Nothobranchius furzeri: one gene and its partners. The protein of the gene in region 2 binds, or shares a complex with, the protein of the main gene of each other region. Links are inferred from orthologs where the notes say so. Each region holds a gene or a part of one and is shown on either strand. Other genes may lie near its edges.

Region 1 (3,540 bases), on a different chromosome or scaffold from region 2:
TTTAACTAAAATGCACTAAAGTGTTAGCCTGGCAAGCCAGACTAAATAAATGTATTATTCTTTGCAAAGCAAGAATTTGGTCTAGTTCACCAGGCTACTAAAGTGCAAAACTATTGACTACACGTGTCTGCAGCACGATTAGACACGCATTTATATCGTTTATCAGGAAAAAAGTTGATTTGGGGGCGACTTGCTCTTTAAACAGTGTTCCAAAGAATCGAAAAGAAGTAATTGATCATATTTCGACAGGTAAATTATTCCAGTCCAGTGGGGCTTTAACACTAAAGGCAAGTCTTCCCATCTCTTTGAAACATGGGTACAACAAAAGAAACATGCTCATTAAATCTAGTGTTATTAAAACTAGTACACACCAAATACCTTTTAAATTCGATGGAAAATCAAAGAATATACATTTAAAAATAAAAATGAACCACTGAAATCTACGTCTACGATGTGCTGACCCAGAATTGGCATCCTTTTGCTGCAGGATGAGAGTCTGACCTTCCAGGGCCAGCTGGACAGCTTGGAAGCAGAAATCCTGAAGTACAGAAAGGAGCTTCACAGCCTGCAGGTCATGAGGGACGACGCTCAGCTCTCTGAAGAAGCTGCAAAGGTGATCAGCGTTTTCCCTCTCTTCGCTTTGCACAAGCATCCTGGTGAAGCTTTGCATGTCTCATTCTGTCCCCCTGTCTTTCCACCAGGCCGCGTTCCAGCAGCAGGACGAACTGCTGTCCAGAGAGCGTAAGGAGAGGGAGAGAGCAATAACAAGTTACAGGAAAATAGTTGAAGAGCACAAGGCAGAGACTGGAAAAACTGAAAGAAGTGTAAGATGATCGCTGCTTTTAGATGTCTAATTCTGTCCATGGTCTCATAAAATGTGGAATTCAGTAAGTTAGGATGGGATTCAGCTCTGACACTGGTTGTAAACACGTGCTGACATTTAAAACGGGTGGCCTGCAGGTGAAGAGAACACCTCTGCAGCCAGATGAGCTGAGCAGCGAGGCCCAGCACAGCACCACTAGGATCCCCGCTGAGGAGGAGAAGGCCTTTTCTGCTCTGGAGGAGGCCTTCGAACGCATCAAGGAGACCACCGGAGCCACGGACGTGCAGGTACCTGAGATCTGATCTTCAGTAGGGAGCAGATTTCACCTTCTTCTCATCTAAAAACACCTCACGCTGAAGCTGGGATCATTTCTCTGGTTGTTTGTTTAGGAGATAGTGAAGCGCTTCACCTCACAAAAGGAGATGCATGAACATCTGGAGAAGCTGAAGAAAGAGAACGAGGAGGCCCTGCTGCAGCTGAAGGAGCAGAGGGAGCTTCTGATCCAGCGGTTTGAAGAGGAGGAGTATTCTGGAGATGCTAAGCTGTCATGGTGAGACTCACGTTGACCCTATGAGAACCCTGACCAGCTGTTTTTGTTTCTCTGGTTGAAGGAACCCGTGTGTCCTAAGGGTTGTTTTAGACTCTCCTTTTTTTGTCTTTGTGCTTTCATTAGTGAGCAGCAGAAGCTGGAGGAGGCCGAGCTTCAGCTTCAGGCTCACCAGCAGAGGTGTGACTCTGCCAGGGAGCGGCTGGACTGGCTCACAACAACCCTCAGTACCGTTACAGCAGGAGTGGAGCACCTGGCAGAGAAACTGCAGCACATCACTCTGGTAAGACACCTGCTCACGCTCGCACACACAGCATACCTGCAGTCTTTCTGTCACCGTTCCCGTTCCAGAGCGCGGGCAGAGTTACTGCGCAGCAGCCAGACTCCGAGGAGGCTGTGCTGGAGCTTCTGGCCCAGTGCGAGCTACAGCTGCAGCTGCTGCAGAAGGAGTTTGAGGGGAAAGATCTGACTGCTATCATGAAGGAGATGGGAGAAGACGAGGTGAGAAAAAGCTTCAGTACACTCTAGCCATCACATCTGGAGCTCGACAGGATCGAACACAGATTTGACGAGCTGCTGTAAAGCAGATGTTTTGTTATTTAATAACCCCTCACATAACAATTATGACCCAGAAGATGCTTTACATTCATTTATTTCAAACTCTGTCATCACAGTTATACACCGTCTGGAGGTTAGGGACAATATTTAGGCATCAAAAGCTTTTTAGTTTCAGTTAGATCTCCAATCCAATCCAATCCAATTTTATTTATAAAGCGCATTCACAAGGCATTACAACCAAACAAGGCGCTGTACACTAAAAATGTTAGTTAATCAAACCGGCGGTATACAAACATGTCGAACACAGATAAAAGATAAAAAGGAAATACAACAAAATTCCCAAAAGCTAACAGCTAAAAATCAATAAGACACAGGGTGAATAAAAATTAGAAAAACATTTAAAAAAGAACCTCAATATAGTATGGAAGTTGATATTGTGAAGTCCATTTTTAAACAATGCAGATGTAAGTGAGGTTCATAATTATGTGGTATAAGCTAGGTTGAAGTAGTGAGTTTTCAGGCGTGATTTAAAAATGCTAGCTGTTGGTGCTAGCCTCACTAGCAGTGGTAATGCGTTCCACAGCTTCGGTGCACAGACAGAGAAAGCCCTTTCTCCACGGCTTTGTAAACGAGCATTCGGAACAGCTAGGAGGAGCTTATCTTCAGACCTGAGAGCATGCGGCGAGTTGTAGTAATGGACAAGTTCACACAGATATGGAGGAGCTTGATGGTTCAAGGATTTGTAAGTCAGAAGCATAATTTTGAAGTTTATCCTGAACTGCACGGGCAACCAGTGGAGAGATTTCAGAATTGGAGAAATGTGTTGTCTTCTGTCAGCTCCAGTCAGCAACCTAGCTGCTGAATTCTGGACCAGTTGAAGTCTAGAGAGAGCTGCTTTACTGATGCCGTATAAGCAGGAGTTAGAGTAATCCAGCCTAGAGGTGATGAAAGTGTGGACCACAGATTTCAGAAGACCGACACTCAGGATGTGCTTTAGTTTTGAGATGCGTCTTAGTTGGAAAAAACATGATTTAACTGTGTTATTGACCTGGACATCCATCTTCAGAGCCTGGTCCATTTTTACTCCAAGGTTGGAGATTACAGAGGATACATTAGGTGAGAGATAGTTGAGGTCAGGTTGATGAGTCACCGTGGTACTGTTAGGACTGAAAACGATTAAGTCAGTTTTGGAGTCATTGAGATGGAGGAAGTTATCAGCTAGCCATTGCTTGACCTCAAGGATACAATCAGACAGAACTTTCGTTGATTGAGTTGGCTTAAATGAAAAATAGATTTGACAGTCATCAGCGTAAAGATGGTATGAGACAGCGTGCTTTCTGAAAATGGCTCCTAAGGGCAGTATATAGAGGTTGAACAGTAACGGGCCGAGAATTGAACCTTGTGGGACACCCCAACGTAGAGGCTGTGACTCGGATGAACAGCCATCCAACATGACCCTAGCAGACCTGTTACAAAAGTATGACCTAAACCAGTGGTTCCCAAACTTATTTAGCCGTGCACCCCCTTCTATGTCCCGACCATATATATATATATATCAGATGTCAAGCTAAACAGAAAGGGTTAAAATAATTCCCCATCACTTTCATTTTTT
Region 2 (4,323 bases):
CTTCCTCGGCCGCAGCAAGGCAGCGGATCCCGTAGTGTTTGGCTTCTTCATACTGCTTCATGTTCAGGGAGCTGGAGCCGATGTTGTGAAACAACCAGGCCTTTTCCAACCCGTCATCAACCAAAGGAATCATCTGTTCCCAGCTGGAGAACAAAGAACATGAAACAGAGTTTTAAGGCTGGTCAGAAAGCTTACGGAGATTCTTTGATTGACTTACAACTCAACGGCTTGTGCAAACTGTCCGGTCTGAGCCAACGTTACACCCATGTTGTTCAAAGCCCTGGACGTGGCTTCTGGAAGTTTGCTGATGATGAAAACGATAACTCAGCATTTGGACTAAATCATGCTTTTGTGCTCATTTTTTCTGCATTCTCACCACCGCTCAGCCAACTGGAGGTCTGTCCGATGGTGCTCCAGTGCTTCGTCCATATCTCCCAGGATGAAGAAAGCTCTGCCAATGTAGCTATGCAGGCTGCCCAGGAGCTCGTATTTATTAGGAATGTCCTCAGTGGTCCAAGTTTGAACCACACTCATGGCTCGTTTTGCCTTCTTCAGACTAGCCTCTGCATTACCACGAGTCAGCTCTGAAGATACAAAAGAAAGGTTAAGAAATAAAAAATGAAAGCAGAGAGCCGACAGGAGCGCGTCCTACCGTTGTCGATCTCATTCAGGCTTTTCAGCACAAACTGAGCCTGCTCAGAAGGTCCACGCCGTTTCTGCTGCTGAGGGGCGACGGGCTTCTCCAGACTCCACAACTTAGCACAAGTATCAAGAGATGTGAGGCAGTCTTGAATGATGTCCTGCAGTCGTTCGCCATGAATCGTCTCACTCCCAACCAATTCTGCAGCGCATTAGATGACCACAACATAAACAATTCATCGAAAGTGAAATAAAAGCCACAGCGGACCGACGTTGAGTCTCATTAAAGGCTTAATACCTTCATCTTTCATCAGATCCTCAAGGAATTTCTTGTCATGGTAAAACTTTCCCAGAAGCGCTTTGTTGGTCTTGTCAGTCTTTGGAGTCTGATTATTTTTCTTCTTGATCAGAACAAAGGCAAAGGAAGGAATGACGGGTTTAACAATGCTCTTAGGAAAACCTGCTATGGCTGTTTCTATATGTGCAAAGAAACCAGTTAGTCAGTGCTGCACAAGGCCCGTGTTCACTAAGAAGCACGGCCTTTTTACGCCAGGTTTCTGAATTTTATTGTCGACTTTCATCTAAATAGTTTAGATTTTTCATGGTTTTTGCACTTTAAGTTCACTTTATTTATTTATTTATTTTGGTCATTTAAAAGGAAAAAGAAAGAACACAGTAATGCAGAATCTCAATTATAGTAACCAAAAAGGTGTAGGCTGAAGCCTAGCTTTTATGCCTATTTACTCAACTACATTACTTCTCAAAAAAAAAAGAAAAGAAATGACAATAAGAAGATAAATGTAATGTAATAATAAAAATGAGAGTGAGATAAAAAAAAGTAATTATGATATTAATAATTGAAATATATTGAGCAACAGCAACCATAATTCAGCAAGAGGAAAAATACCCAGAACTAAAGACAGAACTACAAAACTACCAGTAATATATATATATATATATATATATATTTGGTGTGGGAATAAGGAAAATGTAGAACTCACCCTCTCATCTTTATACAGGAAGGAAAGGTCTTTTTCAGATCCTGTAGGCAGAGAAGATCAAACAATTCAGAGTTTTTATTTTAAAAAAAATGTTATTTCTTACCAGGTTAATAAAAAAAGCTGGGTGAGGTGAACCTCTAAACAACGGAGTCCCTTTGATGCTAATGTTGAATGTTTATCCATGTGTGTGTGTGTGTGTGTGGGGGGGGGGGGTTAATTGGATGGATGAATAATTAGTGTTGAAACATCCCATTTTTATTTACATTTCAGTTTTTAGATGTAACTTTGTAAGTTTGATTCTTAAAATATTTGACATTATTTGGATTTGTCGTTCAGTCATAAATAAACTTGTAGGAAAAAGTGACTTTTTAAATCATTATGAATAGTTTAATAAAATAAATATGGAAAATAATGCTATTTTCCCTTTATTATATCATTATGCAATCTGCACTGAGCCCAGAGAACACCTCCACACAGATGACCCACCAGCCGTATCCTCTATCGCCTGCTGTGCGCACTGCGCGCCGAGCCTGAACTTCTGCATATGAGGCTGGAGCTTCAGTCCTCTGCTGTGAAACACCAACGCCTGTTCAACGTTGCCCGTGTGATATAGAGCCTCTGCCTTCAGGTACAGTCCCTGGAAACAAGCAGGAACAAATCCAGCGTTTCAGCTCAGGGGACAGTACCACGAAGGAGAAAGTTGTCTCACCTCTATGAAAGACTTGTCGTCTTTGAGCGTCTCTTCAACATCTGTGAAGACGTTTTCAAACCTACCCATCTTCATGTAGCATTTAGCCCGTCCGATGAGGCATTTCTTATCCCCTGGCCTCAAATTCAGCGCCTGAACGACCAGATTAGGGTTGTTTCAGTCAAGAGTAGCAAACGAGCGCCACGCTAGTAAACGTCACTCACCGCCGTGAAGCTGTTAGCAGCTTGATGGTACTCTCCTTTGTTGAACATCCACTTCCCTTCGGACAAGAAAGTCAGGAACAAATCCTGAGGATTCTTGTTAGATGCCTTTGACATTTTAGCCCACTAAAGGTTTGCCAAGACGAGCTCAGTCCACAGCAACTTTAGCTTCCGCTGGATGGTAACCTAGCAACCGCGACGCCTGACGGACTGCAATGAAGATAAGGGGCATGCGCAGTCCAGAGGCGCCCCCAGAAAATGACCGCGGATAAATAAAGGTGGCCAGATGTGCCAAGGGAAATGTTGGGGTAGCATCATGTTTAGCCTGTGGTGATGCATTGCTCTTTATCCCCCCCCCCCCCCCCCCCTTAATTAAAAACATGTATTCAACTCAAATGTGAGAAACACAAACATTTCAGTTATTTGAAATGTTATTCCAAAATTTTAGAATTTCATTTTGTGGTTTAATGGTTAGGTATTGCTGTCTTCACCGAAAACTATGGAGATATAAACTTATTTTTTATGGTGAGCAGCAGAAACAATCTTTTAAATTCTGATTTTACTCATTAATTGTATAATTTGATTTTACATTTATGTCTTGAATAAAATTAATTTATGGTTTGAGTGAGCATTTACTCATTCGCTGCCAGCTTTTTCCTGACAAGAAAAGCCCTTCGCTGCCAGAATTTTTCAGCGTTTTTGGTTTATTTAAGAGTCACAGAACGTTGCGCGCCAGGATGATGTCAGCGCCAAAACTAACAAAACAAAGAGGAGACTCACCTCTTACATAAAGATCTGCGCCTTTCGAGCGTTATCCGTTCTTTCATTATCCGTTGTTGAATTGTGATCGGCAGAAGCTTTTCCGGTTCGTGCCTCACTTTTTTTTACAGCAGCGCCCCAAAACGATCTCCTAACACATGGATGTTCTGCTTCCTGATCACGTGACGCATGACGTACGCGGATGAAGATCAGCTTTAGAGTTGAAATGTTTGCTCTCACGGTGCGGGGGCTCGTTACGACGCCCACACAGTAAAAAAAAATGCAAATGTGACTTTAGTCATCATTGGCAATTAAAGAGTTGATATTATTTATTAACAAAGATCTTGGGGGGGGGGGGGGGGGGGGCGCGCACCAATTCTCTAGGATTGGCCATGGCCACCCTTAGGGGACGCCACTACATGCAGGTTTAAACTGGTTTCGCTGTAGTCGAAACAACCATTTCGGGACAAACTCGCAGTTTGTAAATGTGCTAGTGGCTTCACACACGCACAACTCTTTTTACCAGCTTTCATGCTTTTTACAGAACCAACTATCCTGTCCATTTGTTAATAGTCTTAAACCATATTGGAATGTCAATAAAAACACAGAAACTTACCATGGAAACCAGAGATGGCCAACTTTATTGACACAGCTGGAACGTTTTAGATAGTGGGGGCTAAAACTGAGGGCAAATGAGGACATAATTCTTTTCTTCACCAGGAAGTAACTGAAAATTTCGAGGTTTCCGTCCTTCCACAGAGCACGGCTGACCAAGGCAGCAGCCAACACAGAACATTATGATCTTACTCCTGTTCTCTTGTCCATCTACAGATCTGAGTGATATTGGGTGCCCTGAATCAGTCTGCAAACAAGCAGCATAAAACAGTAATGATGAACCAGTAAATCAATCTTCTTCCTGCAATTTGACTTAAAAAAAGGGCTCAATATCAGATCATTTTCAGACACACCTTTATCTTACATTGGTTTCATATGACGGCAAACTTTCAATAAATAT
Region 3 (4,178 bases), on a different chromosome or scaffold from region 2:
CATTAGTATAGCTGGTGATGTTAAATAGTTGTACGTTGGTTCATCAGTGTACAAACCACCCCCACAATCTGTGACCCCAAACAGGGGTTACAGATTGAAAAAGACTCTTGAAATATACTTAAAATACTCTAAGTTTTATTTAGTGAGATTTCTGCTGTTGTTGTTGGCTATTTCAGACTAGTCGAACCTCAAGAACATGAAAAAATTGTAGTAGTTCAAATTAAGGTAAAACAACATTAACAAATTTATTAAAACAAAAAACTAAAGATGAACATTTTAAAAACTAGAAATGAAAATTAGGTTGCTACTAGGGCTGGGCGATGTGGCCTAAAATTAATATCACGATATATTGAGGATTTCACCTTGATAACGATAAATGGACGATAACTACAGGTATGCGGCTATGCGCAGAAACAAAAGTTGTCCACTAGATGGGGCTGTCACGTGTATTAGTTGAGTCGCAGTTTTACGTGACTCAAGGTGGTACAGCTTAGCCTGGCAAGCCAGACTAAATAAATGACTAAATGAATGTCTTCTGATCATAAGATCAGAAGGTTAAATTCGTGTAGGAACGAAGGTTATTCCAGGCGCTTCTGAAAAGCCCGCTGTTGGAACTTCCTGGTTGTCTGAAAGGTAAGAAAGCAGACTGTAAATTACACAGTTTAAGTTGCTGATTCTGAAGCAGTAAGCAGCCTCTAACTTGTGATCACCATGGTGTCTGGAAGGCAGGGTCCAAAGGCCTCAAGCAGCAAATTCTCCTTTTTTACGGCTGCTTCAAACTCCTCCAAAGACACGAGTCCATCTTTATTAGTGTCCTGTGGGTGAGAGGATGCAAGAATTATTTTAGCTCCTAACTAATGAGAGCACGTTGAAACTAACAGATGTTGAACATCTCTTACCATCCTCTTCATCGGGATCTCCACGAGAAATTTTACTGCTTCCTCAAGGTTCTCCTCTGGGGGCAGTCCAGGGAGGGTGTCCTTCAGGAAGTAGAACATTTCCTCTCTGCTCATTTCCCCATCCTCGTTCAGATCGTACACAGAAAATGCATCTGAATGAAAAAAGAATCAGGCTGTGAGTCTAGATTTGAGTTTGTGGGCGTGGGTTAGAGAGACGGGGGGAGCTTACACTTTATTTTTTCTTCCAAGGTCCCACGAAGAAACACTGTCATTCCCTTCAGCCACTCTTCCAAACTGAGGAAGCCGTCTCTGTCTTTGTCAAAAACCCTGAAAACTGAAAACACTCTAAAAACACAGTTTTCTAAAAAATACTTACCCTTTAGTACTAAAGAGTTAAATTTTCTAATACTCGTTAAAATTACCAACAGTTATAAAAAAACCTGCTCTTTTTAATTCTGTGTTTTCAATTTGATTCGTGTTAAAACATCTGCTGCAAAGTCACTTCAATAAATGTGTCTTTAGCAGGTTTTTGTCTGTCTGTTTGTTTTACAATAAAGTTTTGCGTTAGCCATTGTCTCAGGATAAATGTGTTTTAAACAGGCTGCAAAATATATCAGATTTATTTATCCATTATAGATTATTGCCAAGTTTTCAATTTAAAGTAGTTCAGATCTTTAGAGGAGGATTTCTGTCGAACAGTTCCAAACAAAAAAAATGACTCACCTGTTGGTCTGAATGACATTTCATTAACATTGTAAACGGTCATGTTAGCACATATGAAAAACGTGCATAGTATGGCTTAAAGTGTGCAGTTTGCATATATTGGTGAATATTGAACAACTTTGTTGCCAAAAGTAGTCGTGGACTTGGTAAAAGTTGTGTGACTCATAAGAATGCTAATTTGGTGTCCCCTAGTCATGTGGTTAGCACATCTGAAAACTGTCTTGCAAAAATGTGTCTTACTAAAAAAACAAATAAAATTTCACCAGCCACCACTGTTTAAGACAGCAGAAACAAATTGGAACTGGTCCCAGTCAGAATGATCTTTGTAGAATCAAAACTGGTCTCTGTTTCTCCTAACCGAGGCTGTTCAAAGAGCTACAAGTATCAACTAAAAGGAAAAATGTCACAGAAATGTCAAAATGTCCTGTTAATCTCACATACACCTGTCAGTTGAACACAAAGGTCTTTTCAGATTATAACTTTAACCCTAACAGAACAAATGGGTCCAATCCTATTTAATAATAACCTAATTCAACATTCAAATAAAATGTCTGACCAGTTTCAATTAAAACATTTACCAAATAAAAATGTGTTGGGAATAATTAAAAGGCAGTCTAAGGATAAATAGACAGCATCCCTTTTGAAAAGGGACTGCATTCTGGAATGATACCTACTTCCATCTGTCATCTTCTCCTTGGACAACCTAAACATGTCGTGGAGGTAGACTTTGAACTTCAATCGGTCCACTCCGTGTTCCTCTGTGCCCGGCTTAACCTTCTGCCCTAGAAGCTCATAAAACTCCAGGATCAGGCTCTCCGTCTCCTTCTTCTTGACTAGCAAACACAGATAATCCTTGTTTACGTTGTGTAGCTGCTAGCTAGCTGCCACTAGCTTCTTCCGTCAACAAACCGAAACAGCGGGGTCAAAAGAAGTTTAAAAAAGTTCTACTCACAGTGTTTATCCTTTTCAGTGATTGTTTTTGCTAATTCACGAATCCTTCTCTTGTTCATAGCAGTCAAGTCCATGTTGGAGGAGAGAGTTCGTCACGTGCTCCGAGATAAACTACAAAGGTGATGCATCGACATATATAGTGATGGAGGTGATGGAGCGTTTCTATGGTAACATCAACACAGCAGCTCTCGTACAATCACAGTTGTTTGTACGTCCTTTATTTTACCAGGTAAAATGTTCGAGTATCATTGCAAACATAAGCTGGCCGAGATGTCTCGCAGGTAATTCAAAAGAAAATCACACTTGAGCAAATAAAAGGAAATAAAACTAATGACAAAGCATATGAGAATAAATAAAAACATAATAAATAGAATAAAAGGCAGGCATTAGAGAATTCTTAATCAACAACTGGAGAATGTTTGCAGGATTAGACATGCAAACAAGAAAACTGTAGGCTCGCCCCCAAGAGATGGCAAAACACAAATTACCGGTACATAACCCGGGGACCATTTAGTTCTATTGCTTTGAAAATTATTAGTTTAGCTTATGTTATCATTTATTTATTTGCAAGAACTTCTTGATTTTTTTTCTTTTCTTTTTTATGTTTCATGCTTTTCAAGTTCTCTTTCTTTTTTATTTTTTCACTTTTACTTCTCTGAATTAAAATCATTAAGTGTCTTGCAGAGAATATATTTTAGCTGTTTTGTGGTTTCTGTTTGGTTGCGTGCATGTGTGTGTGTGTATACCGTATATACGTCGATGGTGCATACAGTGTTCAGCATAAATGAGTACCCCAAGTTCATTTGTCAGAAAACCTTTAGATTCCTTTCAGAATCAAAATTTTCTATGAGATACCATACCACAAAGTAATGTGGGCCATTGATTGCAAACAAGATTTGTTCATTTGCTCACACAAAAACGTGATTTTCCTAACAAATTCATTCAGGCCTATGTTGCAAAAATGAGCACCTCAATTATAGTCTTCAGAGAAAAGCCACACTTAAGAGTACAAAATTTAAATTAACAGGCATTAAATCACAGGTGAGTCTAATGATTCATTTAAGAGGTGTCCAGCAGACAGGTGACTATAAAAAGGCTGGCAGCAGTAACAAAAAAGTGCTACTGATTAAATTCACACTTTTATAAGGAGTGTACTCATTTATGCTGAGCACTATATATATGTGAGTGTGTGTGTGGCTGGTGAGAAGGATGTTTGGACTTCTCTGCCCTGGCTGCCATGATCAGATAAGCTGAAGATAGCGTTGGTGTGTGAATCACACAAATGCCTGCAAATGCTCCCTGAGAAATGTGTGGCTCTACGTCATGTTCAATGGCTGTATTCCAGCAACAATCGGCAAAAACATTTCTGTTTGCAAACCTCTTCGAGACAGACTGCCTTTGTCTTGTTTCTGCTGCAGTTAGGTGTGGGTTTGGGTCAGTACCTCAGACAAGACACAGCAGGATGCTCCAGCAAACATCTTCTGACATAGAGCTGTGCTTTCTCTTCGTGACAAGTCAGCAGATGAGGGAGACTTTTTGTTTCTGTCACAGTTAAGCATGAACTATCTTGGCTCAAGGGCCGGTTGTGGTGCAGAGCAAGATGTG

What was found.
Region 1: odad4 (region 2) and odad3 share a complex: the UniProt entries of both Homo sapiens proteins name them as parts of the outer dynein arm-docking complex. The link is inferred for Nothobranchius furzeri from reciprocal best matches to the Homo sapiens genes ODAD4 and ODAD3.
Region 3: odad4 (region 2) and clxn share a complex: the UniProt entries of both Homo sapiens proteins name them as parts of the outer dynein arm-docking complex. The link is inferred for Nothobranchius furzeri from reciprocal best matches to the Homo sapiens genes ODAD4 and CLXN.

What each region holds. Positions count from the first base shown.
Region 1 is NC_091746.1:25,114,310-25,117,849, reverse strand, and holds part of odad3 (coiled-coil domain-containing protein 151), read left to right. Parts: intron 1-487; coding exon 488-613; intron 614-701; coding exon 702-824; intron 825-960; coding exon 961-1,110; intron 1,111-1,212; coding exon 1,213-1,373; intron 1,374-1,496; coding exon 1,497-1,653; intron 1,654-1,721; coding exon 1,722-1,871; intron 1,872-3,540. UniProt on the Homo sapiens protein: Component of the outer dynein arm-docking complex (ODA-DC) that mediates outer dynein arms (ODA) binding onto the doublet microtubule. Involved in mediating assembly of both ODAs and their axonemal docking complex onto ciliary microtubules.
Region 2 is NC_091745.1:16,041,452-16,045,774, forward strand, and holds the start of odad4 (outer dynein arm-docking complex subunit 4), read right to left. Parts: upstream 2,832-4,323; 5' UTR 2,667-2,831; coding exon 2,553-2,666; intron 2,482-2,552; coding exon 2,350-2,481; intron 2,278-2,349; coding exon 2,127-2,277; intron 1,682-2,126; coding exon 1,641-1,681; intron 1,041-1,640; coding exon 938-1,040; intron 842-937; coding exon 653-841; intron 585-652; coding exon 377-584; intron 305-376; coding exon 218-304; intron 144-217; coding exon 1-143. UniProt on the Homo sapiens protein: Component of the outer dynein arm-docking complex (ODA-DC) that mediates outer dynein arms (ODA) binding onto the doublet microtubule. Plays an essential role for the assembly of ODA-DC and for the docking of ODA in ciliary axoneme.
Region 3 is NC_091743.1:68,489,192-68,493,369, forward strand, and holds clxn (calaxin), read right to left. Parts: upstream 2,833-4,178; 5' UTR 2,648-2,832; coding exon 2,575-2,647; intron 2,456-2,574; coding exon 2,297-2,455; intron 1,234-2,296; coding exon 1,129-1,233; intron 1,052-1,128; coding exon 900-1,051; intron 816-899; coding exon 711-815; intron 627-710; coding exon 579-626; 3' UTR 348-578; downstream 1-347. UniProt on the Homo sapiens protein: Component of the outer dynein arm-docking complex (ODA-DC) that mediates outer dynein arms (ODA) binding onto the doublet microtubule. Seems to regulate the assembly of both ODAs and their axonemal docking complex onto ciliary microtubules.